Notamacropus eugenii: one gene and its partners. The protein of the gene in region 1 purifies or fractionates together with the protein of each later gene. This does not show direct contact. Links are inferred from orthologs where the notes say so. Each region holds a gene or a part of one and is shown on either strand. Other genes may lie near its edges.

Region 1 (10,254 bases):
ACCCTGTCTCACCAACATATTTAGATCCTGGGGAAAAAAAATAGATGTTTCCAAAGTTATGTCTCCTTTTTCTCCTTCACCAAAGTCTGAGGGAATCATTTATATTTCCTGGGAGGAAACTCAATATATGCAGCCTATATATCTGTGGGTGAGGTGTCGAGTCTTTGGATGAATTTTAACACATTTCTCTATAATTCCTTATCTGTTTACTTTGGGACTTTTTTACTGCTCAAGATTAATATCTTTTTCAGAGGATGAATGGAAAACATCATTATAGAAGTAGGACAAGTGGAAAGGTTTAAAACCAGTGCCTGAATTTCATAGATCCATTATTTCTATATTTTCCACTTCAAAAGTTGAGAATTAACAGGAAAGAAAAGTACCTTCATTGACTTATCCCTTTTTTTACCATGTGTCAAATGAGAAACATCAGGATCATTTGCTCTGCCATAAAATATCCTCTTAGTACCAGTATCTGGATATCTGGATTTATAAAATTTTCTCTCAGTGGGTGGAGTCAAAGGCTGAGAGAGAGAGAAAGAGAATTATTATAATGAAAAAAACTGTAAACTCATAGTTCATAATAATAGAACTCTGTAACTCTAGTGTCTGTGTATAACCATAAACAAAAGTTTTGGTTGATTCTTCCATCTCTTTTCCTTCAGTGGATCCTCTCTCTTTATCTACAAACATGCTCAGGTCCCTTCTAGCCTAAAAAGAAACCTAATGGCATCCTGTACCCTTTGACTTTCTCCCATTATTGTTTTGCCACAAAATCCCTTGAAAGAATTGCAGAATATGCCAGCTATCTCACCTTTTCATCAGTCATCTCACTTCTTAGTCTTTAAAACCACTGTTGTATTAAAACTCTCTCAAGTCTGTAAGATTGTCAAGGGGTGTCCAACTGGCCAAATCCAACAACTTTCTCCTCTCATCATCTCCCTTGACCTGAAGTATGAAACCATTGATCACATCCTTCTCCTTGAAGCAGTAAGCTCTATGAGGCAAGGATCCTGGCTTCTAAAATCATTCCTACTAATCACTTTAAAGATTTACAAAATACTTTTTTTACAGTGACCTTATGAGGTAAGGAGTACATTTTTTTTAACTGGCCAAATGATTTTATTGGTTTGGGAATTCCCTGGTGAGGAAATCCCCTTAACCAATTGCTATTCAGAACTGTTCCACAACTTATAGTTTAATACAAATATGGTTAGTTCCATTTCACAGGTGATGAAATTGAGGCTTGGCAAAGTTCAGTGCCCAATCTCACAAAAACAGTAAAACCCAGAACCAAGGCATAAACATGAGGCCTTCTGACTCCAGATCAGGTATTTCTTCCCATTATTTCCCATTTCCTATTTCCTAGCCTTGTTCAATGTCCTCAACATAGTTGGTTGTTTGAACTAAATGTTGTCTGAACTAAACAGAAAACTCTCTCTTTGCTTGGCTGCCTAGATCTACATTAGCCAGATTCTTCCCCTAACTCTCTGACCATACCTGCTCTCTAATTACGTCCTCCTGGGCCACTTCTTTCTCTGCCACTTCCTAAGGCAAGCCTTTCCCAAGCTGCAGCCCCACATCTCTGACTGCTCTGATCTAAGTCTCTACTAGAATTCAAACCTATACAGCAAACTCGACAGAAATAGAACTACTTATCATCTTTCCAAAAATGATTTTGGTTAGGTGTTTTAATTTGTGACAGGGAGACAAGGATGATGGAGGAAAATGGTTTGAAAACAAAAGGCATCAACACAGCTTTTTAACAATAATATTAATTTACTATTGCACTCCCTTTGAGTCTACTTAAACACAATGAAGTCCAGAACAAAACATTGTATATTACAGTCTGTATGAGTATACGCTATATATTTATAGTTCATATATACTATATATTTAGAGCTTATACTATATATAGTATACATACTATGTATAATACGTGTATGTAATCTGTTTATGAGAAAAAGTTATAGAATTAATTATTTTTAGTGTTAACTTTTTCTGTTAAGTATCAAACATAGGAGCTTAAAGGCCATGTAATACAAGCCCCTCTTTTTGCAGTGAGAGGCATATGATCAAGAGAGTGAAAAATACAAGAACATACAGATATGCAAGTCAAGGTTTCAAGTGGAGATTACCATCAGTATGTGTCAGAGGCAAGACATGAAACCAAATATACCTAAAGCCAAGGCCAGCTCTCTATCCGTAGTGTCACATTACCAAAAAAAAAAAAAAATTTGTAATGCAATTATTGAAATCATGAACTCATGAGATCACATATTCCCATCAGGAAGGAACCTCAGAGCACAGCTAGCTCAATCCCCTCATCTTCCAAAGGATTAAACTGAGGCCCAGAGAATGGTGATTTGTCTAGTCACTCAGGCAGTAACCATTGGAAGCAGGATTTGAACTCAGGTCCTCTGATTCCAGAATCTGTGTGGTTTCTTAGTGTTCCTTGCTAACTTCTACAAACAGAACTAATCAGTTGTAGTTCATCTGAAAAATCCTACTGAAAATCAATTAACAATTTGTCTCCCCTTTACCTCTCATGTAAACAAATTATATTAGCAGCATTTAGAAAATCAATATTCAAAAGGCACTAGCATCTCAAAGGACAAAATACTATTAGATTTCTTCTAGCTGGCATGAATTTACTTAGTAATGGTTACTATCAAGAGCTGGCATTAGTATCCAGCTTTCTGGATTATAGTCCCTTGAGATGGTATTGAAAACATTATAATTTGCATTTTTTAAGTGAAGGTCAGATAAATTATGACTAGCCCAACATAATACAGTTAGAGGCCTCAAGAGTCAGACTTGATCCCTATGAGGTCTTTTGACTAATATTTGTAAAGCACTTAACACTGTTCCTAGGTACTTAATAAAATGCTTTTTCTCTTCCATCTTCCTTCTCTTTCCATTACACTGGGACTGCCACTATAGGTCATTGGCTTACAGTAGTTTGGATTTGGGTAGGAATTTAACAACGCTCTAATCCAGGGGTAGAGATTCTGTGGACTGGAGGTCACATGTGGCCCTCTAGGTCCTCAAGTGTGACCCTTTGACTGAATCCAAACTTCACAGAACAAATATAGGTCCTCAGGTATGACCCTTTGGATTGAGTCATAGGGTCATACTTGAGGACTCAGAAGGCTATATGTGGCCTCGAGGCTGCAGGTTCCCCACCCCTACTTAATTCCATCCTTTTATTTGGTAGATAAATCAATTTAAGTCCTAAAAGGTTAAGTAGTTTGTGCCAGAACTAGAATGCAGGCCTCCCTCCAGTGCTTTTTCCCATTACACCTTGAATTCTAGTATATTTGGAAGCCTCATATCACTTTCACCTCTCACCAAACTGTTAGAAGAGGAAAGCCTCTAAATATTTCCAATACCCATTTTATATAAGCTTAAGGGAGAATACAAAGAGTTAACTAAATTGTCTTGAAGGTCCTATCTAAGGCAAAGAAATAAGCAAGTATCTATTGACAATACTCACTGGAGGCCATTTTTCAGTTAAACAGGTTTCAGCTCTGTCTCCAACTGGAATAAGCTTCCCTGCCTAAAGAAGAAAAAAAAAAAGGTAAAAAAGTAAGAGATGAAAACTAAAAGGATCAGCACAGTTAGGGATGAAAGTGACTTTGGAACTTGGCCTGGGCCTGTGTTTTCAAGTGAATTACAATCCCAAGTAAAGTAAAAAATAAAATGAAACAAATGTATACATACACATATATACTAGTATATCTTCATAGAATCAAGTCATATCATATCCCCTGAAAAGGAGACTATAATGTCACTAATAATAATCTCAAAATAAACAATGAATGGAAAAGTAGAATCTCTTCAATCTCAAAATAAACAATGAATGGAAAAGTAGAATCTCTTCAATCACTTTCTTGGGTCCAGAATGGATTTTTGCTTTAGGACCATAGAACTGGAAGGGACCATGGAGTTCAACCTCCTCACCTTACAGATGAGAAAAGGGAAGCCCAGGGAGGTTTAGGAACTTGACCAAGGTCATGAAGGAGGTGAGCATTAGAGATGGTATTTGAACCCAAACGCTACTGCAGGATTCTAGAGCCAGAGCTCTAACAATGTGAACACTATTTTTCCTTTGGTTAGACTTAAATATGTCCTACTACACACCAGTGGGGCTGGAAAAAAAAAGGGAGAACATTAGCATGACATGGGGGAAAGGCAGCTCAGAAACATGGGGAGAAAATGCTGAGAAAATGAGGAGTGGGAAAGTAAATATCCAATAGGGTGAATTGGAGAGAGAAAAGCCTTTAGTGGGTATTTTAAGGAGAACAAAGACATTCAAAAATGGGTGATCAGTAGAAAGACAACATTCAAAAGGTGTATTATGGAGCTTTAATAAAGCATATCATCAAAAGAAATATGTGATTGGAAGAGGCAGATTCTTCATGTAGTCAGAGTCAGGGATAGCAGAAAGAACCTAAGTGTTGTGCTAGTGCTTTCAAAAGGTTCATAGATGAAAGAAAAGACTCTAACACACCCAGTAACTCCTTCCTGGAGAGATTATGAGAGGACATGGGCAAAAATGAAATAGAGAGGTTGATATCTGCAACAGCGAAGAGACTATACCCTACTAAGGAAATCATGGATCATGTTAGCATCCAAGGAAACAGAGATCCAATGTGGGGGCAAAGGAGTAACATAGAAAGTTTCTACAAAATAATAACTGGTGTCCATAAACCGCAATCGGAAGCCAGTGTTCTAATTTAGTTGTCATATTAAGTACACCACTGGTCCCAGAGAAAGGTAAGGGGAAGGAGTGAGTTAGAAAAGTATAGGTGTGAAAGAGGACTCAGAACTCACACATGGCAAGGCAGGATTACGGTCAATAAATTTCCCAAAATAAATGGGTCTCGGCTTATCTGGCTGCTCCACTCCGGGTTCCAAATCCTTTGGAAGCTGGGGAGCTCCTTCGGGCTTGGTCCCGAAGTCGTAAGTTGGCGGCTCTATCACCAACCCTATGGGGTCCCTGCTCTCGGGCTCCAGGTTACACATCACCCTACTGGGCAGTCCAGTCTCCGGGCTGCCCAAGGGCTCCTCCTCCTCGGGGGCTCCCAAATTCTCGGGGCAAAAGATTTTCTCTGCGAGCTCGTTCACTAAGCCCATGTTGGGCTGCGGACAGAATGGGGCTTGCGCGGCCAGCTTCTCCCGCATTTTCCGCAGATCCTCCGGGTCCCTCTCGCTGTACCTGGCCGTGGGGGGCCGGGTTGATAATCCCAAACCACTCTTCATGCCCAGGGCAGCATCTGTCTCCGCTGAGGGCAGCATGTCCCCCAGGAGGCTGGGGCGGTTGGGGCAGCGAAGCCCCGCAGAGTGCAGCTCCCGGTACTGCCCCCCGCCTTTATCCAAGTACGGCCAGTTACGCCCCTCCACGCAGCATTTCGAAGACGGTATAGGGTGGGCCTTGGGGCCCAAAGGAGGTGAGAGCTTCAGTGACATCAACCGCGGGGTATTAACGGAGCCCATGAGGCAGCCTTGCCCTGGGCTGAGAACCGGCCTTTTTCCCGGGGGGGTATTCAAGACCTCGGAGACCTCCTTCTCCCGGGGGCTCCCTGTCTCCGCGGAGTCTGATGGGGGCACCATGATCGCAGTCTCAGGTCTGGACTCCCCTCCAATCCTGGGCCGCACCAAATGACCCAGAGACTAAGGGAGAGTAACTGTTTAAACTGGTTACCTAGGGAACGGGGGAGGGCCGTGGGGTGCCCCGCCCCCTCGGGCCAGGTCTCCTTTCTCCCCTCGCTCTGGACCCATTGTGAGGTTTTGGTTTCGAGAGGAAAGGGAGCAAGTTACCTACCTGCTCCCCGCCGGCTGCCGGCTGCAGGGACAGGATGTCTCTGAGTTCCTGTTTCTCTCCTCTGAAGGAGACAGAGCTTGGAAAGGTGCCGACACCTTATGACTTATCTAACATATGGGGCTATTGAATCAAAGCTGTAGAACTGGAAGGGACATTTTTGGGCAGTGAAGCCCAACCCCTTTATTTTACAGATGAGGAAAGTGAGGCACAAAGTGGTTAAGTGACTTGCAAGCAGGATCATACGGCTAGTAAGTGTCTAAGATTAGATTTAAAACCAGGTCTTCCTGACTTCCGAGGGTAGTGCTTTTATGCACTACAATTCACTACCTGTTACAGATAGTTTTGATTCTATTAGAGAGAGTAAAGGTGTCACTTAGGAGCATAGCTTTTTAAGCAACCCTTCTTTTTTCTCTTAATTGGAATTGTTTATATCTCCAGAATTTCATTTTTGAGAACTTCCCATCTCTCCCAGCTAAACTCACCTGAACTCATTGAAATCTGCTTTCCCAGAATCTAAGGTATATGTCAGACTATACCCAGATCTCTTCTCCAGTTCTATTACATTCCAACAATCAGTTTTCCTTATTGGTGAAGGTTAGTTCTTCACCTTTTCCAGTATGGGAGGGGAGAAATCACAGGATAGGATGCTAAATTTGCATCTACATTTTTATAAAGCTAGTATACATTTCCTTTGCATTAGGGATTCCAGACCTGAAAGAACAAGCTTCCCACCCATGAAAAAGGTACCATATTTGGAGTCTGAAGACCTGGTTTGAAATTGTCATATTGTAATGAAAAGGTAAGGTAGAAAATGCTTAGAAGGCATGCTTAGATGTTCTGCTGTGGGCAGAAAGTTCTGGTAGATGTCTAGATAACTGAAGTCTTCCATCACTACATGTCATACCTCCATGTCAGCCATCTAATACTCCCTAAAGGCCTTGTCTTTTCCCTCATTCTTTTCAGATGGTCTGTGATATATTCCTATGATAGAATTACTTCTACCTCACTTTATCTTTGCCCAGAAATTGTCCCCATCACGCCAATGAACATTTATTACCATGTGCTAGGCATTGTGCTAAGTGCTAAAAAGTTACAAAGAAAAAGCAAAAACAGTTCCTGCTCTCAAGAAACTTATATTTTAATGGGAGAGACTATATAAATGACTACCTACATATAAGACACACAGAGAATAGGTGAAGTGCCCATTAGAGATGAAGGCACAAGCAGCTGGGGCTGCTAGGACTCCTAAAGAAGTGGAATTTGACTTGAGTCTTAATTGCAGCCAGGGATTCTAAGAGTCAAAGGGAGGGAGGGAGGGCATACCAGGGCAGGAAGGCATGGGGAACAGCAAGGACAAAAGTGGGAAGAATGAACATGGAATGTCTTGTGTTTGAGTAACAGCATGTGCATCAGTAAATATGAGTTGCAGAGTTCATTACAGTGCTTAAGACTGAAAAAGTGGGAAGGTGCCAGGTCATAAAAGCTTTAAATGCCAAACAAAGGACTTTATAATATTTAATTCTGGGAGATGACAGTAAGCTACTGGAGTCTAATGATTAGAAGGTGATGTGGTCAGATCTATGTTTTAGGAAAATCCCTTTAGCAGGTGCAAAGAGTTTGGAATGAAGAGAGACTTAAGGAAAGGAGACCAAGTAGAAAGCTATTGTAAAAAAAAATTAAAGGAAGAGAGAAAGAGAGAGGGAGGGAGGAAGGGAGGGAGGAAGGAAGGAAGGAAGGAAGGAAGGAAGGAAGGAAGGAAGGAAGGAAGGAAGGTGTATATCCCATTTGAAATGTCCAACAAAGTGTTGGTGATGCAGAACTGGAGCTCAGGAGATCTGGGAATCATCTGCTTGGAGATAATTAAACCCATGGAAATAGATGAGACCAACAACAAAAGACTATGGAGAGAAAAACAATGGAGAACAGAGATTTGTGACACACCCACAGTTAGTGTGAGTGACATAGATTAAAATCCATCAAAAGACTGAGAACTAACAGTCAAACAGGTAAGAAGAAAACCAAGAGAGGAAAAATGAGTTTGAAAACCAACACTACTACTAGATCTATAATCCAAAGGGATCAAAGAAAGATGAAAATGATCCATATATGCAAAAATAATTATAGCAGCTTCTTTAGTTATATCAAAAAACTGGGAACAAAGGGAGGACCCATCAACTAGGGAATAACCAGACAAATTATGATATGTGAATGTAGTGAAATAGCACCATAAGAAATGATGAAAGGGACATTTTCTGAGAAACCTGGAAGATGGGCATGATTCAGAGTGAAGTAAGTGGAACCAGTATTACAATTTATACAAAAACAACAACACTGCAAAGAAAAACAATTTTAAAAAACGAACTACGGCCAATGCAATGACCAACCTTCAGAGGACCTAAGATGAAACGCATTACCCACTTCCTGATAGAGAGGTGAGGGATTCAAGATTCAGGATGACAAATTGGACAAGGCCAATGTGGGGATGTGTTTTGGTTGACTGCAAATTTTGTTACAAGGCTTTTATTTCTCTTTTTTTTTTTTTCCAGTTTGGGGTTGGGTGGAAGGGAGTAAGAGACTAGGGATAGGATAGCATCTTCCCTTTCACCCCCCAAAAGAGAAAAGGTCACTGAAGCACTTCTGAATGTACAAAAGAAGACAGAATCACATAGCTGCAGGATAGCTTTAAAAGTAACATGTTAAATTAATTATTAAAAAAGAGAGGAAAGTTGTATATAACACATTTGAAGACTGACATACGTTCCTCTTTCTCTTCTTCTATATGGAATTGCCCATTTTATTTACAGTTTGTTAAGTTCAGAATAGAAGATATATAGATTTTAAGATGAAAATAAGGGATAGGAAGAGATAGAAAGATAAAAAATTATCATCAGATAAAGCACATTCAGAGTTCTTGAACATGGAAGTAGAAGACTTATGGATGATAAGATCAAAGGTATGAGCACTCCAATGCTGAGGTGAAATGTAAGAACACATCATGGAAGTTCACTTGATTAAGGACCTGAGAACTTTAATATGAAAGTGGGGGATTTAAGATGAAAGCATTATGGACCAGATAGATATACCAGAGAGGAAAAATGAAGGGGTGGTCAAATCTGGAAGGGATATTGGGATGTAGAGTTGAAGGGGATGGGAATGAGGGATAAGGCAGGTGATGTTAAGCGGTAGGGTTTGTTCTTCAGTAACCAGGGGTTCAACATAGAGATGGAGAGAGTAGGAGACACTGAAAGTATGTTAGCCATTAGGGAATGAGTCCACAGAAAGTAAAAGTGAATATAGCTTCATACTATACAGTATTACTCTTCCCCCAGCCCATTACCTATTCAATCTTACCTGTTTCCTTTTGAATAAGGTATATATCCATTCAGAGACATATTTCAGTCAAGGGTCTCATTCCACCAATTCAATGATTACTATGATGTCAAATTTGCCTCCTTGTATTATAAGTTCTAATTCACCTTATTTTACATACTTTTCTACAGATATTTATGGCTATTGCTTTTGTTGTTTTATCTTGTATGAATTTTGGGCTATCTTTAGTTCTAATCTTGCTGTGTCATAGCTATATACAATATCTAATTTGGGGATATATCTAAGTTGTTTTCTTCCTTTACCTTCTTTTTCAGTTTGAAGACCTTTTCATTAGACTTGAAAGACATTAGGCAATTAACATTTTTACCAGCTCTAAGTGCACTGTGATTGTCCTTTGTATATTTTAAGCTGTGATTAAGCTGAGAAGCTTTGAACAGAGAGCTATTCTCAAAGTCAGTGGAACCTGGGTTCAAATTCTGCCCCTGACATATACTGCCTGTAGTCCAGGACAAGGGCCAATGGTAATATTTCCCTGGGGTGCGCTGGTATCCTCCTTACCCCTGCAGACAGGTTTCTGACCTTGAGAATTTCTTGGTCATATCTAAGACACATGCCCTGGAAACACAGCAGAACTTTTTATTGTTGTGCTCAGAATGATAAACCATTGCCTCAGTACTGCTGATTTACAATCCCTGTAGAGGCACATCATTAATCTTTAGAAGACATGCTTGCCAGTAAGATTCTCTCCACCATTCCACCTCTAACTCTCTCATAACAAGTTCATCCTTTCATTACAAGAAGCCTGGAATATTGCAATAATTTCCTATTTCAGGTGGTCTAAGCCTTTTTGCATCATGGATTTCTTTGGCTGACCAGTGAAGCCTGTGGACACCATCTCAAATAATGGTTTTAAATAATCAAAGGAAATTAATTTTTTAAAATTTGAGGTAGAGGTTAGCATAAATACAGATGTCATTTCTCCCCCTCATTCATGTTCTCCCTAAAATCTATTCATGAGAACAGCTTTGCAAAGAGGAAAAGGTGTCAAATTTAATAAGCTATCTATAGAAAGGAAGTTGAAATCAGAGGAGCCATGT
Region 2 (10,392 bases), on another chromosome or scaffold:
TCTATTTCTGTGGAAGGAACTGAGGGTGTGTAAGCCTAAAATGCCCCAGCAAAGACAAAAGTAGACTTCAAGTAGTTGAAAGCTTGTCATATGTCTATGCGTAGAGACAATTAGATGGTGCAGAGGACAGAGTCTGAGACATGGAGTCCGGAAGATGAGTTCAAGCTCCATCTCAGACATTTACTTAGGCATGTTAACAATCTGCAAGTCATTTATCCTTCCTCATCTGTTCGGTGGGGATTATAACAGCACCTATCTCCCAAGGTTGTGAGGATCTTATGAGATATCTGTAAATATTACAGCAAACCTTAAACCCCTATATAAATGCTAGTTATTATAATCACATGGAATAAAGATTAAATGTGTTTTACATAGCTTCAGAGGCCAGATCTAGAACCAATGGGTGGAAACTATTAAGGGACAGGGAAATTTCAGGTAAGGAAAGAACTTCTTACCTATTAGAATTGTACCAAAGTGAAATGGGATGCATTGGGTGGAGTGAGTTCCATCAGTGGAAGACTTTAGACAAAGGCTGGATGAATACTTACCAGGGATGTACTGAGAGTGTTCATGTAACAGACCTAAAGATGGCTAAGTTGGAGTCAGGGGACCCGAGTTTGAATTCTGGCTCTGCCACTTACTATCTATATGAACATGAGCAAGTTATTTCACCTCTGAAAGTCTATTTCCTCACCTGTAAATGAGATGACTAGGGCTAAGTGAATTCTAAGGGCCCTTTCATCTCTATGTCCATGACTCTAAGCTTAAGGTCATTTCAAAACCTGAGATCCTTATGATCCTAGGTTATAGGACAGTCAATAAGCAGCTCAAGAGAAAAAAGAACTTTCTAAAAATGGAATGTTGTCCATAAGTGGAAGGGGCTGCCTGATACTGTGCAGGTATGGGATCTGTTGGGGAGGAAACTCTGTTACAGGGTGTATGTAAGGTGAATTTTAGTTCAAATAAGGTGGATTTTAATATGTGTTAAAGGAAATTTTTATTATTATTTCTCAGAGTTCAGTTTCCCAGGATCCATAATCATAACAATCTCCTGTTCCCAGGTACTAGACATTAGTTCTCACAGTTATGGTTCAAAATATCTCCACCACACTTGCCCAGAGTTATATAATGGTAAATAATCTAAACCTTCACTAAGGCTGCACAGTGAGATACAGGAATGAGGTGATATAAAGTTGTGAGGCTATGTCTGTTGGCCCATAAAACAGGTGGTCACCAGACAATGAAGGGGGAACCCTTAGGGTTAAATGCACAAATGCTGTGTGTGCCTCAACTGGCCCCCATTGAGGCTTGAAGGGATTTAGGGGAAGCACGAGTTGTGCCTGTCTCAATTGCCCCCACCAAGATATAAGGATAATTGCCTCCTCTGCTTCTCCCTGGCCCCTTCGAGAAGGGGGATTAAGAAATTGATGAAGGCTGGAAGGGGGTGTGTGAGACCCCCACAAAGACCGGGGTACCAGAAGGAGGTTGTCTGGAGAAGAATTCATGGACTCAAGCATTGTTGAGGTCAAGGTAAAGATTTACTAAGCTTTTCAGCTGGCAAGAGTTCTTAAGGAATCTGCAGCCTTAAAGGGGTACAGAGAAAGTTTATATTTAGGAAATGTGCCAAATATGCTAACTAGGTGTTTTGGGGTGGGATTAAGGAATGGTCAGTTTTTAAAGAACATGCACTTTTGGTATCTACTGCGCAGGTATTTTACCCAAAACTCATCAAGAAATAGCCCAGGGGGGCTACCTAGAGGTGTGGTTTTAGGCCTGAAGCATCACTAAGTCAACCAACAGTCAGGGCTGGCTCAGAAATACCAGGTTGCTCTCATCAATGTCTTGTTAGACAAGTTAAATGTAAGGGAGTATCCGTATGTCTAAGTCCAGGATACACATGACTGGTCAGTGAGTAGTAAATGTCGTTATGACCCAGTGCACATCCTGTTCAGCCAGTACACAGCTGGCTCAGACTAATGAATTCTATAGGTACAGCTGGCTACTGTTGCAGGAAGCGAGATAACAGTTGTTGCTGGAGCAGGCTGTGTCCTTGGGCTGGGGAGAAACTGCCTGGGATAGTATTTTGAGGTTAGGGAGAAACGTGATTTTTAAAGAGAAATGGGATTTTAGAATTGGGGCCCAAGCACATGCACCCAAGCATCCCATCATAATCTGTAGGAGTTCATGCTCTAATTATCAGTGATCCTTTTCTGGGAAAACTAGACTAGAATAAAGTAGATTATTAATCCATTCTTAGTGCCTTTCTTGTCTGACCTGATCAAGAGTGAACCTGAGCTAGCAGCCCTCCTGTGTGCTGTGTTTATCTGTCTTATACGGGTAAATCCTATGATGGGGTAGGCTGTGAGGCCTGATGAAGTGGGAGAACATTTCAAACTCTAGCGAGCAGTCTGTAGCTCTGTGGCTTCAGCTCTAAGAGCCACTGCTTTTGTCTGCTGTCTAATACTGAAGACCATCCTCTTTGTGAAATTTTCCTGATGTATTTCTTTCTCTTTGCCTCATTAAAGGGGCCATACCCTGGCTACTTAAACAGGCCTATCCAATGAATGGGCATTGCCTCACCCGAAGTGAATACCTGCATAGAACTTGCCCTAAATGGGCCAAGGTCTCCCAGTGCATCCTGGGTCATCTCCAGTCATCCTGATGAATATCTGGTCACTGGATTCAGATGGCTCTGGAGGAGAAGTGAGGCTGGTGACCTGAACAGCCCTCCCTCACTCAGATCAAAGCCAAGTGCAAGTCATGTCATCATTTTTCTGATGGCATGGTCTTCTTTGGCAATGAAGGACAAACACAACTAAATGGAAAAGGCCTGTAGAATTGGCCTAGAGATGGAGTTTGGGTCTTTGGTTCAAGGGGAGGGGCTCCTCACCAAGCTAACAGCAGAGCAGTGAGTTTTTCAGCCACAGAAACTCATGAAGATCTACTCAAGTCAGAGAGGGGTTGTGATCTATGTCAGAGGAAGTAGGACCTGCACCCAATGAAGCTACTGGGTCCTTGAAATATTGGAGGAGTAGAAAGAACTCTGGCCGGGGCTGCAGGGCACAGGATCTCAGTTTGGATCCTAGCTCCACAGCTTACTAACCTGGGTGATCCTGGGCCTGAAGAAATGACTCTAACGTCCCTTCCAGCTTCAAATCCTATGATTGTAATCAGAGGCCTACAGCTAATTTCTCTTTACACTTAACCCACATCTGTGCTCACACTGGCCATAACTGCAGCATAGCCCTCTTCCATGGAATCTCCTCGGTTTCCTAATGGGCCTCAGTGCATCCTTTATCTCTCTCCCTTTTCTTCCTATATCCGGCAGAACTCATCAGGTTTGAGCATAGTTTTAATCACTGTACTGCTTAGAAGCCAGCATTAGGTCCCAGTTGATTCATGCACCACAATATCATTCTTGTTAACTCCTTTTGCCTTTAAGCAAATGATCTGTCATGGATTCCACTCCTCCTGCTTCCCAGGACACCTGATTCAGAGATAAGCAGTTCAATCTATTTTTGTCTCCTTTCGCCCACTTTCAAATCATAACATGGTTTAAATTCCCTTCCTACTGATCCTTTCCTTACGATAAAACGAACTCTACCCTCTCTCCAACACTCACCTTTTCTCTGGAGTCTTCCCTGACTAAAACTTTCCAGTTGCAGGAATGCTGATCATTCAAAAAAAAAAAAATCAGTCCCATTCATACATCTGACATCCTTTTTTCTTTCAACTTCCTTCATTACTCTAAGCGTGTACTTTTGTAGAAGCATAGTTGTGAGCATGTGTGAACCTAGTTTGTTTGATCTCTTTCCACTTAGGGCAAACAAGAGTATTTTCAAATAGGAGTACTATAGTGGATGAATGAAAAAGTATTTATTAAGTGCTTCTCATGTACCAAGCGCTATGCCAAGGATTGAGGATACAGATACAAAAGCAAACAGATCCTGTATTCAAGATGTTTACATTCTAAGGGGCAAAACAGCACGCAGGGGAGCAGCAGCCAAGAGAAGGCACTTTGCTCCAGAAAGTTGACAAGGATGGCAAGACTCAGAGGGGAATAAAGTGACATACCCCACTCAGGGACAATTGATTTGATTTATGGTTCATGGTTCTAGACTCGAAAACAGGGCTCAGGGAGGAAAGGAAAGGTACAGTACAGAGTAGTTGTAAAGGCTTAGAGGAGATGGTCCAAGTATAAGGAGTAAAGCAAAGCACCGCGGTTGGGGCTTTCCTGAAATTATCATCTGGGAGAGGCAGCCATTCACCAGGACACCAAGTGAGGGGTGGCTGATTTTGTAGGGTATCAAGGTAGTTGACAAACTGTCAAGATGGCTGGAGTAGCAAAAGAACTGGGTTTCAAGTTAGAGGATGTGGGTTTGAAAGTTCCTGCTTTACCACTTACTTGTAAGGTGACTTTGCGCAGGTCAAGTAACTTCCCTGAGCCTCAGTTTCCCTATCTGCTAAGTGAGTATCATACTCTTGCAATACCTACGTCCCAGGATTGCTGTGGAGAGCAAAGGACACCAGGGACATAAAGAGCTTTGTAAACTGTAAAGCGAAGTAGGTGTGGTTATTAACGTGACTTCTCCAGGTGCCTGGAACAAGTTACTGTATCTGCTGGTTGCAGTCAAAGGAACAGCTGAATGACTGAGGTTTCACAGGACTGTGCGAGTGTAACTGTATCAGATGTTTGATCTTGGGGAATTACAATAAAACAGAGGACTGGCAAAGGCTTGGCGCGGGGCTCGAGGGAAGCCAGCAGGTGAAGGGGAGGAGCGGGCACGGCAGGTACGGGACACGGACCGAGGAAACGTCCGGGGCCAAGCGGTGGCATGCTTTGTGTCGGAGCCGGGAAACCTGGGCTGTCTCCTAACCCCGCCTGCGTCACGTCTGGACGCGCTTCTTCGTCTGTAGGGTGGGGATAACGACACCGGCCCAGGCACAGGGCTGCAAAGAGCCGATGGAGCGCTCCGCGGACTCTAACCCGCTCCACGGGCGCCATTCACACTGACGCTCCCACGGCCTTCCCACACCTTACAGCCCTCTCCCATTTCTGACCCATCCCCCACGTGTGTCTGAGGCCTGGGGGCAGCCCGGGGCAGCAGAGAAGGCGGCTGCGGCCCACCGCGGTGCCAGCCTCCGGCCATGCCACCCTCGCCTGGTGTCTGGGTCTCCCGGCCCCGCTGCGCCGAGGAGCGGCCGCAAACCTGGACGCGCCAAGAAGGCGAAGCCAGGGGCGGGGAAGGGTCCGGCCGGGCCGCGGTCCGAGGCGGTCACCCGGCCGGGGCGCGCAGGGCGGACCCCTGACGAGCTGCGTGACCCCGGACAGGTCACTTAACTCAGTTTCCCCGGCTGTGAACGGGGGTAATGAGCGTGAGGGTCGGGTCTGTAAAACTTGGGGCTCAGAAAGCGCTACCCCCGCCTCATTTTACAGACGGAGAAACTGAGGCCCGACGGCCCAACATCCCCAAGATTCCGGGGGGTGGGGTCCGCGCCTCCAGCCGAAACTGATCCCAAAGTGGGGGGACCGGCCCGGGGCCTCGGCGGGCACGCCGCCCCGGCACTAGGTGTGCAGCCGCCCGCGGTGGGGGTGCGGAGGGGGAGCGGCCGGCGCGCTCCGAGGCCCCAGGCCGCCCGCCGGGCCTGGCCCTTTAAGAGCCGTCCCCCGCCCGCCTCCAAGGGGAGGGGCGCCGTCCTAGCCGGCCGCTCCGCCCCTCCTCGCAGGCGCGCACCTCCCGGGCCCGCTCCGCCGCCGCCGCCGCTCCCGCCGCCAGGCGTTTCCTGCGCCTCCCTCCGGACGCCCCGCAGGTGGGTTAGTTGGTCTCGCCCATGCACCAGCCCCGCAGGACCGCGGGCCTCCCTCCCCCGGGGCCGGCGGTGGCTTCGCCCTGCGGAGCGCGCCAGCTGCTGGACTGGTCCATGTGACCCAGCCCTGGGGGGGGAGCGGGGATGGGCCGGGCTCGGGTGGGACTCGGGGGCGGCGGCACACCTCGCCCCCCCCCCCCAGCTGTGCAGAGGTCTGACCCAGCCGCGTCCCTGCCTCCAGGCCTGAGCCACTTCCGGCAGGAAGGCCGGGGAGGGGGCGGACCGGGGCCAGGAGCGTGCGGGGACGATGGGGCGGAACTGCCAGATGATTGTCACCTTTTGCACCCAGGTCTTCCTCGGTCACCTGACTCTTCGCCCCACCCAGAACCCTGAGCCTCAGCAACATGGTGAGACCTCCCCCCTCCCACACACCCATTCTCCCCCTCCCTCTCTCCAATGGACCTTCCCCTGACCCTTGACCTTTCCGCTAATTTTCCTCTCCGACCCCTGACCTTTCAAACCCTTCCGGTTCCTACCGCCGAAGCTCGGAGGCGAAGCTCGGAGGGGAAGCCCGAAGCCCCCCGGCCCCTCCAGCCCCGGGCGCTTAGGAGGTGACCATGGACGGCACGGGGGATCCGGGAGGCTTCAGGATCGTAGCCGCGCCATCGCCCCCCTTCGTTTATCCGCAGCACGGCCGCCTGAAGGTGAAGACCACCGAGGAGCAGGCGGAGGCCAAGCGGCTGGAGCGCCAGCACAAGCTGAGGCTGTACCAGGAGGCCACCGAGGCCATCTTCCAGAAGGTGGAGGCCCCGCCCCGGGGGGGGGCTGTCAGAAGGGGGGGCATCATCAGAGAGTGGGGGGGTCATCTGAGAGTGAAGGGGCCGTCAGAGAGTGGGGGGGTCACCAGAATGGGGGGGTGAATCAGAGTGGGGCGCCATCTGAGAGTGAGGGGGCCATCGGAGAGTGGGGGGGCTGTCTGAGAGTGGGGGGGGCCATCGGAGGGGGGGGCCATCCGAGAGGGAGGCATCAAAGTGGGAGGCCTGGGGGGCTGAAGAGCCACCAGGACAGGACCACCCAACGGGCTGTCCCCTTGGTTGCAGCGACAGGACGGCAACCTGGATGAGTCCATCTTGGAGCTGACCAGCCAGATCCTGGGGGCGAACCCCGACTTTGCCACCCTGTGGAATTGCCGCAGGGAGGTGCTGATGCTGCTGGAGACCCAGAAGTGCGTTTCTTCCTGGGGGGGCAGGCTGGGCAGCTCGGGGGACCAGGGTGGGGGGGCCTGTTATCTTTGACACTGGGGAGTCTGGATAGGCACCCCCAGTCTGGCCCAGCGTGGTGCTCAGGCTGCCCAGAGCGATGACACCCAAGCGGAGCCGACCAGAGCTTCCCTACAGACAGAACTGGGGAGCAGGACGAGGAGAGCCAGTCTGCCCCACCCCCAAAGAAAGGGATGTCAGTGCTGGCTTCGTGGAGTAGAGTGGAGGACAACAGGGTTTGGGGGTGACAGGCAGTACCAGCAGCATGGCCTTACATGGGAGATTTAGGGGGAGACCCAGGGTTCACTGTTATCACCTTTTTGGCACAGGTCCCCTGAGGAGTTTGCCTCCCTAGTGGCAGCGGAACTTGAGTTTTTGGAGAGCTGCTTACGGGTGAACCCCAAGTCTTATGGAACCTGGCATCATCGCTGTTGGCTACTTGGCCGCCTCCCTGAACCCAACTGGACCCGTGAGCTGGAGCTGTGCGCCAAGTTTCTGGAAGCTGATGAACGTAACTGTACGTTCCCCACAAATTACCTGATTTCTTAGGCCCCAGCCCAAACCAGAAAGTTGGGATGGGACTCCTGAGCTGGTTGGTAGAGTGACAAGTGAGTAGATTTCTGCGTGTGTGATGTGTTCCCATAGGACCAAGTAGCACCCCGGATGATAGTTCTGGGAGCTAGGAGTAGGGGTGCCCCCCAATCAGCCCCGGATCTGAGATACGTTGCTATCCACAGTTCATTGCTGGGATTACCGCCGGTTTGTGGCCCAAAAGGCACCTGTGCCACCTGAAGAAGAGCTAGCTTTTACTGACAGCCTCATTACTCGGAATTTTTCCAACTACTCCTCCTGGCACTACCGATCTTGCCTCCTGCCCAAGCTGCAGCCACTGCCAGATTCTCAGCCACCAGGACGCCTTCCTGAAGACGTTCTACTACGTGGTGAGCAGGGTGTTTGGGGGCTGCAAGAATCAAATGGAAGGAAGGGAGAAATAAAGAATAGTAGGTCCCAAGATATAACCTCTAATTCATTTTCTGGTTCAGAAATTAAGAAAGGTTACAGTTATCAGGGAAGGATAGATAGAAACCTAGGGGGCTCTGGGAATTGTAGAATCAGGAAAGAGTGGAGTTCTGAGGTGAGGTCAGTCAGTCATTTTTGAGATGCCTGTTATAAGGTTAGCAATGTGCTGGGCATTGGGGGTAGGTAGTATATAGAAACAGAAAAACTACCGAGTTTACCATTTAACTAAAGAGACAAGTATGTGAAACCGTATTGAATAATTCAGAGCAACGTATATCTAAGTGTTGAATGGTGGTACAGACAGACTCTAAGGCCAGTTTGAGCGAGAGGGGGGTTGTTGCCTCCCATGAGCTAGAGGAGGGGCAGCAGAGCTTTCATGTGGAGTTAGTGAGGCCCTTGAGTCCTAATGACAACCTCCTTTTCTTATGATCCCCGGAGAGCTGGAGCTGGTACAGAATGCCTTCTTCACAGATCCCAATGACCAGAGTGCCTGGTTCTACCACAGATGGCTTCTGGGGCGAGGTGAGAGGTGGGGCCAAGGCCACAGGGAAGCTTTTGAGCTGTTTGGGCATCAGGTGAAGCGAGCTGGAACTGAATGCCACTACTTCACCTATTGTTCTTTTACCCCTGCCCACAGCTGACCCTCAGGATGCCATTCGCTGCCTCCATGTGAGCCGGAATGAGGCTTGTTTGACTGTCTGTTTCTCTCGGCCCATAATTGTGAGTTCTCAGGACATACATGAGACAAGAGGGGAAAGAAGGAGTAAGGTTGGGGGGTGGGGTGGAGATGGGGCTTATGTGTTTTCTACCTTGTGTTTTGTCACGCAGGTGGGTCCTGGCATAGAGACTATGATGCTTTTAGTGGATGAGTCTCCCCTACCTGTGGAATGGAGGACACCAGATGGCAGAAAGCGGCCCAGCTATGTCTGGGTATCCCCTTCCAGACAGACACACACACACACAGACACACACAGACACACAGACACACACACACAAACACACACACACACACACACACACACACACACACACACACACACACACACACACACACACCTCTGTCCCCCTCCCCCGCTTGATAGGTTGAGAAGTGAGGGACTGAAAAATGGATGAATTCTGTAGCATTTCCTTGACCTGGCTCATTCTAGCTGTGTGACCTGCCATCTGACTCCCTTAACGAGCAGTGCTCTCAGCATTCCTTCTTCCTGATGTGGGGTGATGTCCAGAAGGAATGCGTACTTTACAAAGGTGATGGAGCTCTCCCTCGCCCCTCCCCCTTCTCTTCAGCCACTTCACTGCCACTTCTCCAACCTCTTAGGGATGTTCTCCCTGAAAATCGTTCCCTACAGATTTCCCTAGAATATTTTATTTGACTCTCATTTGTCCTTACTACAGTCTACCTCATTCGTGTATATGTCTTAACTGCTTGCTCTGTATCTGTTAGATTGTAAATGCCTTGAGGATAGGGACTGTGCTGTCTTCTGTTTCATCTTTGTGTTTTCAGCTTCTAGGAAACTACGTTGCTTGTAATAGGTTTTTCATAAATGTGTGACCCCATGTACCCTGCCCCCATCAGATTCTTTCATTTCTCAATTCCTTCTCACAGACTCCCTTCCCTTGTCCTAATCTATTCTCTAGGTCGAAAAGAAAGTTGGTGCCGAGACTCTGCCACAGATGAGCAACTCTTCAGGTGATGGAAGAGATAAAAAGGGATCATGTCTGAGGGTTTTGTGTGTTGGGGGGGGGGGGGGTTGGAGAACCAGAGCAAAAACTAAAAACTTGGGGGCAGGCATTCCCTAGGATACTTGAGACCTTGGAGTACAGGAGGGTGAGGAAAGGTGGGTATGTGTTCCTCATCCCTCCATTACTCTGCCTGTCTGTCAGAACGGAGCTATCAGTGGAGAAGTCAACTGTGTTACAGTCGGAGCTGGAGTCCTGTAAGGAGCTGCAGGATCTGGAACCAGACAACAAATGTGAGGTCCCTCTCTACCCCCAACAGCCTGCCCCTTCAGGGAGCTCCCTCTCCTGGAGACCTTGCCTTTCCTGATGGATGGATCTTGGGCAGTGGGAAGAGTTAGACGGAGGAGGAACTAGGGATAGACTCTCTGCCCTGCTCCCTCCTCCACCACCATCATCCTCACTCTCAGGGTGTCTATTGACTATCATCCTGCTGATGCGGGCTCTGGATCCGCTGGTGTATGAGAAGGACACTCTGAAATATTTTCAGACCCTCAAGGTAAGTGGAAGAGTACAAGAAAAGAAAGTGGGGGACTTAAGCGTTGGAGCTCATTTAGGGCCCTGAAGA
Region 3 (10,763 bases), about 180 Mb from region 1:
ACATAACAAAGATACAACTTATTTGAACCATTGCTAAACCATCAGAATTTTTTAAAAAGGTGATAAGAATTACTTTCCATGATCAGTAATGAAATGTGATGGTCTAAGGTACCTTTTAGTGATTAAATTGTTGTACAGGCCTAGGGAAACAAAAGGGAACTCTAATGATATAACAGCAATACAGTAAATTTCCTTCCAACCTACAGTGAAACAAAATTAATGGCATTCTATAGTACTTAATCTGCCAACTACAAAAGGTTGACTAATAAAACAATAGAAACTGCATTTGACTTATTAATAATGTTAAAATAATGTTAAAAATGACCAAACAAGGGACCTCATAAGTCGCGTAAGTCTAACACCTACCCAAATCATAAATCCAGCTTTATAACATTCCAACATCTCCAATGACAGGAATATAAAGATAGAGATGGGAAGTGGACTTGTGATTTCACTGGTAAAGGTTAACTTCTTTCTAGGTGAGGAAATTTCCTCTACCAATGCAGGCTGGCACTGTCTCTGAACTTACAGCCTAAAAGAGCTGCCTAGAGCCCTGAGAGGCTGAGTTACTTGCCAGGGGTCACACAGCCATTCAGTGTGAAAGGCAGAAGCCAGGTCTTCTTGACTTTGAAGAATGCTCTCTCTCCATTTCACCATGCTATGAGAATAGCAAAGCATTCTAATTTTAGGTAACTTTCATCATTAGGATTTTTATGTTTAGGACTAAGCAGAACAAGCCTAATGTCTTTTATCTATATGAATATCTTTAAATATTTAAAGATTTCTAACACATATAAGCCCTAAATCTTTTCTTCAGACTAAACACTCCCAACCTAGAGCCTTTCACAGCCTGACTCCAACCTACTTTTCCAGTCTTATAATACATTGCTCTCCTTCAAACACACTATGGTTAAACCTGATTATCTTGATATTCTTCAAACAAGACACCCCATTTTGGTGCCATGAACAAGCTTTCCTCCATGCCTAGATTGTACTTTCCTCATCTCTAGTTCTTAGAATTCTGAGTTTTGTTCAAAGCTCTGCTCAAATATCACCTTCAATGTCTTTCCCCAATTCCCCTAGCTCCTAACATCTAGCACAGGGGTGGGGAACCTACAACCTTGAAGCCACATGTGAAACCTTGAAGCCCTCAAGTATGGCCTTTTGACAGAATCCAAACTTCAGATTCAAGTCAAAGGGCTGTAGTTGAGGATCTAGACTTGGATCCAAAGGGCCACACTTGAGGACTAAGAGGGCCACATGTGGCTCCCAGGCTGCAGGTTGCCACCCCTGCGCTAGCACTTCCCTAAATTACCTTCTATTTATTTTGCATGACCTTATATATGTGTGTTGTACCTATTATCTCCTCCTATAAAATGTAAGGGGCAGCTAAATGAGGCATAGCTGACAGTCAAGAAAACTCATTTCCTGAGTTCAAATATGGCCTCAGACACTTATTGGCTGTGTGACCCTGGGCAAGTCACTTAACCCTGTTTCCTTCAGTTTCCTCATTTGTGTAATGAGCTGGAAAAGGAAATGACAAACCATTCCATTATCTTTGCCAAGAAAACCCCAAATGGGGGTCACAAAAAGTTAGACACAACTAAAAATGACTGAACAACAATAAAATGTAAACTCCTTGAAGTGAGCACAATATATTTAATTTTTATCTTTGTAGTTCCAGACTCTTAATACAAAAGATGCATCTCAGGCATTTTCATATTCCTATTTGAAGATCATATTAACCCTGTGAGGTAAAAATTACAGGTATAATTTTTACAGTTTACAGAGAACACTGGAACTCAGTGAACTGCTTGATGGTGACACAACTTGTAAATGTCAGTCAGGATTCAAAACCAAATCTCTCCTGACTCCAAATCCAAAGCATTTTCCAAATCTAATTACCCTCACACTAAAAGTAAATGACTTTAGTCTGGCATGTTTTTTGATGAACCCATGCTGACTCTTGCCTACCCTTTTAAGTGAAAAACACTGAAAATCCACAACCACAGAGCAAAATAAAGGTTTGTGCAAGAAACTAAGTCCAAAATGATGGACTTAGTACTATGCACTTGCTACCTGATCTAACCCACCACAACTGTGTACAAGTTTGCTTTCTTTAAAGGTCTGGTCGTTTCCCAATATACCACACAGAGATTCAACTCAATCTCTAAAATTCAAAAATCATTAAAAAGATTTTTCCGATAAATAATTTCATAATTGGTACCCCTTTTTTCAATCCCCATGATAGCTACAGTTTGCAACTTTAGTTTGTCTGATCCACTGTGATGGAGAGGAATACAAATACAAAAAATCAATATAAATATTAAAGTGATAGACTGAAAAACAATACATTAATTTTTAGTAACTATTTTGTAAATGGTTAACCAATCAAATGAAAACTGAAAATTGTCCTTTTAACATCAATCAAAAGTGATTAATACTGGTATATGAGTATGTCTTCTAGAGGATACCCGAAAACCAAAATACATTCAAATATTGCTTACTGATTATAAAACAAAAGCGAGGTTCAAATCAATTCCACTCTGTCCTCCAACACTGCTTTTCTTATGAATACTAATTTGTTCATCCAGTCAACAAATATTTATTTAGCTTAAAATAAACTGTAAAATGATATGTAACAGAGAGAATTTATTTACTTTTTCTGTATTTTTTTTTTTTTTGCTGAGTTAAGTTACCCCAAAGTATGAACAATTAGGAAATTCAATAAAATAGGCCAAGGTCACAGAAAAGCCTTTTATTGATATCTTTCTATTGTAGCATTCATGGGATCCTAATTATCCAACTTAAAATGTTTTTAAAAAGAGCCATAATCTTTTGAGAAAAATATGCAATAATGGGAATGCTAAAATATGAAGTATATTCAACTCTGGTGGGAAAAAAGACAACATAGGAGTCCTTAAAGGACGTACCTAAAAGCACATTTTTGTCCCCTTCCTCCACACAAACCATTTAAATTAGGCAAAGCCATTCATGGAGTAAAGAAAGCACTCACATAGACATATACTGATTTTTCTTCTAAGTCCCCTAAGAAGCTGTCATGGGGTTATCTGTGCCTTTTACTATTCATTAACCCACATCTTAGTAGAAAAGAGAAAAGACCAAATAGAAGAAAACGAGAAAAAAAAAATCAACAGCAAGTCTTTCTCATTTCTCGCCTGTAAACGTGCAGTAAGAAAGGCATCCCCAAAACACCAGAGTGAGAAGGGGGGCAACTAGATTCTGCCAAACCCCACAAACTCGGCGCAGCATTTTGGCCCCCATTAGACCTTTTCAGAATTCGCTGACCATCGCTTCTCACATCATGCAGTGCCCTTTGCCTGCTCACTGCTGCAGGGGAGTGAATTTTAGTCACTGAAGGAACCATTTCCACCCTGCCTCCCGTCCGGAGAGGTCATCAACCCAAAGGGGGAAAAAGTCACAAGAGGCTTGGAATTCAGTTTAGTTACAATTATTCGAGTCTCCTCTCCTTTGCAGGAAGCAGGCCGTTTAATTCCAGACCTCTTCCTCCGCTTCACTGATTTAAACCATTTCCTGGACCCTCCTACAAAAGGGGCAGGGGAGGCTGCCACGAGGACGTGGGGACACGGTCACTTATGCTCCTCTGAGCGTCCTCGTCCCCAACTGCCGAAAACCTTAAGTGTCCGGGGCAGCCTTTCCCAAAAGCTCATCATCTGAAGGAAAAAGCTGCCAGATCCAAGAGCTCCGCGATCACAGGACAAGCAGCCCCCTCCAGGGGTCCTTCAATACGGAAGGACAGAGACGCCAATCAAACCGTAGCTCCGGGTACGTGTGCGCGTGTCGGATCCAACGGCGCCGACACGGCCAAATAAATAAAAGCAGGAAGCTGGAGGAAGCGGGCGTTAGAAGGCGCGGCGGGGGCCGCGGTCCGCGGGCCCGAGCCGCACCACGCGCGCTCCCGACAGGGGAGCCCCTCTCCCTCCCTGCCCCCCTCGCTGCTCACGCCCTCCGGGAGCGAAGCCTCCTCCCCTCCCCCGCTGCGGGCGGTCACGGCCTGCCCCCACCCCCAGCGGGCCAACCTCCTCCCCTCCCCTCCCCCTCCCCGTCCTCACCGTGAGGCCGGTGCCCAGCACGATCACGTCGTACTCCTCATTCATGGCGGGAGTCAGAGGATGAAAGGGGAAGAGAGAAAAAAAAAAGGGGAGGCGGGTCAAGAGCTAGAAAGGGAGAAAAAACAAGCCAAAAGCAGCGAGTAGCGAAGCCCCACGCGCCGTCCGGCGAGCGCAGAAAGAAGATATAAAATGGAGCACGGAGGAGGAGAAACCGCCCACTGCCACAGAGGAGAGAAGAGGAGCGAGGGCTGCGGGAAGAGTAAGCAGGAGGAGCCTAGCAGGAAAGGGGGCGGGGCGGCCGCTGCAGCCTAGGGGGCGGACTCTGGAGGAGAGAGCGGCTCCTGGTTGCTGTCAATCACGGGCCTTCCGCTTCTCTTGCCGCGCTCTCATTGGCTGAGCCGGGCTCGTTCGTTACTGTACTTCCCTTTTCACTCCACGCGAGAGGGAGGCGGCACCGGGCGAGGCTTGAGCTCCTCCTTTTCCGAATCTCTTCCTCTCTCCATACTCCCGCCCTCCCCGTTTCAAGCTCTGCTTGCTGGAGGGATTAGCGTGGTGGGTGTGGGAAAAGGCGGAGATGGCCCGCCAGTGGGCCGGGGCCTGACGCTTGGTTTAGCGCCCGGGCCCTCAGGGACAGGGCGGGGCAGCGCTGCGCTGGCATCTGGCAGCGGCCCCAATGGTCTGGCTGTGGCCCCTGCAGCGGCTGCTCGCCCTTGGACTCTGAGCTCCCCTTTGTTTCTAAGTCCCCTCTTGGACTCGGGGGGAGGGGAGGAAAGGATGCACCGGGTGATGGGGACAAACCTGGCAACTGTGACCTTGGGAGGATTGCTTCGTTCTCCTTTTTTTTAAATGAAAGGTTTGACTCGGAGGATAGCTGCCAGTGCAGCGTGATGGAAGGCAATAGGGCGCTGGAGGAGCCGGTGAAGTGGACAGATTGGGCAGCAGACTGCAGCCCAGGATCCTCGGTTCTGTTATGTGACTCCCTCCCTGCTTCAAAGTGCAAAGTCCCTTACTCTGCCTGTCCCAGGAAGAGTAGGAGAAACAGCAAATGTGCATTTCAAAGGAAAAATTTTTTAAATCTTTTGTAAAAAAGGCAGCGGGTCTCATATAAAAACAGGCTCTTCAGTTTAAATTGATATAATCTAGAATGATTTTCTATAAAAATAAGCAGTTGTAGTAGAGTAGGCAACTCTGCAGTTTAAAAGAAATTTAACATCCTCTACTTGCCTTTGGGGTTTTTTTTTTTTTAATTTGGTTTTCATGGCAGACTTTCCCTCTTGCAAGAAGTATCTGCATAGGCAGAGAAATTCTCAATTTACAGACCTACGAAGCTATAAAGTGATGTTGGAAGAAGCTGATGGAACTAATGGAATCAGAAGAGTGACTTTCTGAAAACTTACCTTGGATAATTTGGTTGCCGACTGGTCCATGACAAATTTTTGTGTTTTACTCTCAACTGGGTCCTCACTATGGCAATGCAATCAATTTTTTTTACATTTTCCTATTGGTTTCACTATCCCACTCACCATTATAGCTTTTCCAGACGTTTTCTTCCCGTCTCAAACTTCCCATCTTCCCCTAGACTCTCAACTGAAAACCTAGCTTCATATTTTGAAGAAAAAGTTGAGGCCATTTACTGTGAGCGTCTCTCTTCTGTCTTCTTCATATCACTCAGATGCTTTCTGCCACAAACTCCCCTTCCGACCTGTCCCACCGGAAGACTTACCAAGGCAAATGCCTTTACCTGCATAAGCAATCCAGTTCCATCTCCAACATGGTGCCCCACCCTAACCCTACCCGTCCAGTTATTTTCAGTCTCTCCCTGTCTACTGGCAGTTTTCCAGCTGCTTGCCCATATCTTCCTCATCCTCAAAAAACCCTCATTTGAGCTAACCATACCAGTTAGCCAACATCCTATATTTCTTCTCCTTTTTGTGACTAAACTCCTTGAAGAAGCCATTTATAATCAGTCCTTTAATTCTTTTCCTTTGAATTTCTTTTTAATTCTGCAATCCGGTTTTTTACCAGAATCAGTTTTTGAACTGACACTGCTGTCTCCAAGAGTACCACTAATCTCTTAATTTCCAGGTTTAACGACCTTTTCTCAAACCTTCTTGCCTCTGCAGCTTCTGAGACTATTGATGACCCACTTCATCTTAATACTCTCTTCTTTCTAGGTTTTCCTTATAGTGTTCTTTCCTGGATCTCTTCTTTCCTATGTCATAGCTCCTACTCAATTTCCTTTGCTGCATCTTCACTCAGGTCATGCCCACTAACTATGAATATCTCTCTCAAAACCTCTGTTTTGGGGCCAAGAAGATTTCCTCTAAACTGCTTCTCTTGGTGATCTCATCAGTTCCCATATCATCTCTCTACAGATAATTCTCAGAGATATTTATCCAGCCCTGATGTCTCTCCTGACCTCCTGTCTTATATCTCCAATTGCCCTTTGGATATCTCAAATTCTGTGGGTTTCTTAGACATTTTAAACTCAACATGTCCAAAAATGAACTCCATCTGTCCCCGCAAAATTCTCTTAATTTCCCCGTTACTGTCAAAGATACCACTATCCTCCCAGTTATTCAAGCTTGAATTCTTGACTCCTTACTCTCTGGCTGATGTTACTGCCCAGGGGAACTTCTGTGTTTTGGAATAACTACCTCACCTAAGTGGTCTTCAGCCTATACCCACCTGAAATCATTATCCCTCATAGACAATCTTAGGGCAAGGAGTTTGTTCCTGCCAACCAGTATCTCCATTATCATGCACTTGACTGCCCAGGTCAGATGTCTGACCACCCAGAAATCATGCTCGTGATGAATTAATACCATTCTAGGAAGGGGAAGATCCCTCTATTCCAGTGGTTTCCTGCATCTAGTCTCCAGAGATTTACCTGATAAGAATGGACTGCTTTTGGACATAGTTCTAGCTGTCCTTCTGCTTTCTTGCCCAGCACAAAGTGGCATGAGTCTTGTGGTCCTTGCCCTGTCAGAGGGCTCTGAATGTCCTGGAGAAATAGCTTAGGTCCCTCTCAACAGGACAGCTAGGTGGTACAGTGGATAGAGTGCCAGACCTGGAGTCAGGAAGACTCATCTCCCTGAGTTCAAATTTGGCCTCAGATACTGTGTGACGTTGGGCAAGTCACATGTTTGCCTCAGTTTCCTTATTTATAAAATGAGCTGGAAAAGGAAATGACAAACCATTATCTTTGCCGAGAAAACCTAAATGGGGTCACAGAGTTGGAGACAATTCAAACAACTGAACAACAACTTCCCTCCCGACTGGTAGATATTCTTTCCTCTGGGGTGCTTTTGACAACACCTAAGGGGAAAAGTAGGTGGTATTGCTGAAAGGTGCCTTGCTATATATCTGACAGGACAAAGTTGTCCCTTATAACAGTTTTGCCTCAGTTTCCCTGACATGACTTCTGGATCATTTGGGGCATAAAAAGTCCCACCCATTTGAAGTCTGAGACTCTTAGACTTGGTGAGTGCCTAAGATCTTGCAAGTCACTAAACCCTGGACAGATGGTATACTGAACAGACTCATTTCCAGATGAAGACAAAAGGAAAGTGCAAGAAGCTGTGTCATTTCTTCCTTGTTGCATGTTCTTGCTCTGTTAATTCTTTGTTAAATGTTCAGTGACTTAGGATGCCTCATTTCATCCCAACACTGGACCTGCACCACCAGCAGGTCCACTAGCTGCACCTACAATAGTGAATGTATATTTACTTGGAGGAAAGGAATTTTTTATCATCTACAAAAAGGATGTTTGCATCCCCAGCACTTAGTACAGTGCCTGGCACTGGTAGGTACTTAATAAATGTGTATTGACTATCTTCTACCTCATGCTTTTCACACCTGATCTCCAGCCGCAGGTGAGAAGAGGAATGACCTCCCTCTGACCACATCTTCCATCTAATGCTGGCCAGGCCTGATTTCCAGGCTTAGATTCCTAGGGGCTATCTGGAGGAGACTTCCATTTGCACCAGCACAAGGTAACTTCTACCTTCTGCTCCACCTGTTAGCCTGTTCACCCACCTCCCTTCATATGTGAAGAAGAGAACGCTTCCCCCTGACCTCAGGTCTTCCATCTCCTGCTGTGCCTCTCTACTGAGGAAAGAGGAAGAGGAAAATTTCATTTGCTGGATCTTCATCCAGATCACGTCCTCGAGCAGTATGTGTCCCACTGTACTATGGGGCTCCATCCTGGGCTCTCTTATACTGTTGTAGTATTTCAGTTGGTGATCTCATCAGATCCCATGAATTTAATTATCTTTATGCTAATAATTCTCAAATCTATTTATCTAGCCTTAACCTCTCTGGTGATCTCCATTCTATCTCCTGTCTTTCAGACATCTCATACTAGATACCTAGTAGACGTCTTAAGCTAAACATGTCCAAAACTAAACCCATTATCTTTCTCCCAAACCCTTCCCTTTTCTTAACTTCCCTATTACTATAGAAGATAACACCATTTTCCCAATCCCCTAGGCTTACAACCTAGGTATCATTCTTGAGTCCTCACTACTTCTCACCCTCTAAATCCAATTGGTTGCCACGGCCAGTCAATTTCACATTTGCAGCATCTCTCAAATATATGCCCCCTTTTCCAGTGCAGGCCCTCATCACTTCACACCTGGATTATTGCAATAACTTTGTGGTAGATTTACCTGCCTCAAGTCTCTTCTCACTTCATTTCATCCTCCAGTCACCAAAGTGGTTTTCCTAAAGCACAGGTTCAATCAACCATGTCACTCCTCAACTCAAATTCTAGTGGCTTCCTAGGATAAAATATGAAATTCTCTGGTATTCAAAGCCATTCATAACCTAGCATAGCTCTCCTTCTCCGCATCCCCCCCTCCCTAATTTCTTATCTCTGGCCATTTTCTCTGACTGTTCCCCATGCCTGGAATGCTTCCCCTCCTCATGTTCACCTCCTGGAATTTTCAAATTCCCCTGGCTTTCTTCAAATCTTAACTAGAATCCTACCTTCTAAAAGAAGTCTTTCCCACCCCTTCTAAATTCCAATGCTTTCTGTAATGCCTATTTATCCTATTTATATAGCTTACTTGTATATAGATTTTGAGTTCCTTGAGGGAAAGAACTGTCCTTTTGCTTCTTTTTGTATTCCCAGTTCTTACCACAGTACCTGGCACCCAGCAGACACTTAATAAATGTTTATTGACTAATTAACTGACTGACGGATCTTAATGTGGTTCCCAGGAAGGGGGAGTTTTTAGCATGTGTGCCAGGGAATATTGAGTTAGGTGGGCGGTGCTATGGGGGAAAGTCTGGGTATCAAGCTAGTCCTGGACAGGTTTTATGAGAGAAGTTTATTATCTCTTAATCACTTTCTATGGATAACTGACATGTGATGAAGAATTATTAGCTATGCCAGAAGCGTCATCATCAGTGCTGTGTCCCTGATGTTCTTATCATTCTCACACATCATTACAATGGGAGAAGAGTCTGTGTGTGACTGTATTGGAAGTTTCATCATCTGTCCCATGTTCCTAATGGTATTGTTTCTAGTCATCAGCTGCAACATGTGACTCACAGTGAACTGCAAATGTTTGGAATTACCCAGATCTTTGAGATCTGAGATTTGGTCCTTCTGAAGTGAATAGGGAAAGTCAAAGATTTCTTGCATTTTTTTTTCTTTTTCTCTATGGTAACTTTTGTGGGGGGGAGGGGTGATGGGGGGAGGGAGAGGCATTAATTTCTTTTGTTATTGTTCTGTGTGTTTTGTTTTGACTTTAAAAAATTTTTCTTTTTCTTTCTTTTTTCTTCCTCTTCCTCCTCTTAGTACTACTCCTATTTTTTCATTAAAAGCACAAAAAGCATTCAAATGGTAGAAGGACCTCTAGAACAGAGGTGTCAAACATGCAGTCCACAGGCTTCATGCAGTCCAGAACACTCCCAAGTGGGGTCCAAACCAGATTAAAATGTAATTGAGAAATATTTAACAAAAATATATAAAAATACAATAAAACATATATAATATTGCAGTTTAAAACTGAGTTGATTTTCAGCCCACAGGTTTAGTGACCCCTGTTTCTATTTGAGCTTAACACCATTACTCTAGAAAAGGGCTTCTTAAATGTTTTCCACTCATGACCTGAGAAATTTTTATGTGACATATAGGTATATAAAATAAGATACACTTACTGATCACATCAAACATTTCTGACAAACATTTATTTGATAATAAATCATAAAAAATTTATTTTAAAACAATTCTTTGCAAAACATATAATTTTACTATTTATTAAAGATGAACAAATTTGCATACTAATGGGATGATGTGCTTGTTTGTTTTTACATAAATAATTAAATTTTTGCAGAATATTTGATACTGCAGGAGGTAGAGCATTTTCAACATTTTTCAGAGTTGATGGATATTTTTGATTTTATAATCCTCAGTGCTGAGAATGCTACTTCACATAAATACATAATACAAAATAGCAAAAGCATGTTTAGGACCATTTTAGAAATTGTTAGAGATTTTGTCGTAATCCCAAACCAAAATTCATTCAATGATTTTTTTGAGAGAACTCAAGTTTTAAACCTGTGGCCACTTGGTAACTCAGTAAATTCTTCTTGAACTTTCAGTGGCAGATGACTTACATTTTTATTTCATTTGAGTACAGTTTATGAACTCAACTTAGT

The links.
Region 2: the proteins of RAB5A (region 1) and RABGGTA purify together in Homo sapiens (affinity purification with mass spectrometry; 3 studies listed by BioGRID and IntAct, counting the BioPlex papers as one, with this or other methods). This does not show direct contact. The link is inferred for Notamacropus eugenii from reciprocal best matches to the Homo sapiens genes RAB5A and RABGGTA.
Region 3: the proteins of RAB5A (region 1) and GDI2 purify together in Homo sapiens (affinity purification with mass spectrometry; 3 studies listed by BioGRID and IntAct, counting the BioPlex papers as one, with this or other methods). This does not show direct contact. The link is inferred for Notamacropus eugenii from reciprocal best matches to the Homo sapiens genes RAB5A and GDI2.

Annotation. Positions count from the first base shown.
Region 1 is NC_092874.1:34,213,729-34,223,982, reverse strand, and holds the start of RAB5A (ras-related protein Rab-5A), read left to right. Parts: upstream 1-5,790; 5' UTR 5,791-5,912; intron 5,913-6,527; 5' UTR 6,528-6,626; intron 6,627-10,254. Other genes in the region: EFHB (EF-hand domain-containing family member B), read right to left, coding at 384-524, 3,497-3,559, 4,837-5,616. UniProt on the Homo sapiens protein: The small GTPases Rab are key regulators of intracellular membrane trafficking, from the formation of transport vesicles to their fusion with membranes.
Region 2 is NC_092878.1:9,004,975-9,015,366, forward strand, and holds the start of RABGGTA (geranylgeranyl transferase type-2 subunit alpha), read left to right. Parts: upstream 1-5,675; 5' UTR 5,676-5,811; intron 5,812-6,157; 5' UTR 6,158-6,212; coding exon of another isoform or gene 6,213-6,215; intron 6,216-6,352; 5' UTR 6,353-6,425; coding exon 6,426-6,608; intron 6,609-6,908; coding exon 6,909-7,033; intron 7,034-7,396; coding exon 7,397-7,584; intron 7,585-7,804; coding exon 7,805-8,008; intron 8,009-8,525; coding exon 8,526-8,609; intron 8,610-8,724; coding exon 8,725-8,807; intron 8,808-8,915; coding exon 8,916-9,017; intron 9,018-9,235; coding exon 9,236-9,335; intron 9,336-9,725; coding exon 9,726-9,777; intron 9,778-9,971; coding exon 9,972-10,060; intron 10,061-10,234; coding exon 10,235-10,323; intron 10,324-10,392. UniProt on the Homo sapiens protein: Catalyzes the transfer of a geranylgeranyl moiety from geranylgeranyl diphosphate to both cysteines of Rab proteins with the C-terminal sequence -XXCC, -XCXC and -CCXX, such as RAB1A, RAB3A, RAB5A and RAB7A.
Region 3 is NC_092874.1:209,606,459-209,617,221, forward strand, and holds the start of GDI2 (rab GDP dissociation inhibitor beta), read right to left. Parts: upstream 4,477-10,763; 5' UTR 4,140-4,476; coding exon 4,095-4,139; intron 3,921-4,094; exon of another isoform or gene 3,291-3,920; intron 1-3,290. UniProt on the Homo sapiens protein: GDP-dissociation inhibitor preventing the GDP to GTP exchange of most Rab proteins. By keeping these small GTPases in their inactive GDP-bound form regulates intracellular membrane trafficking.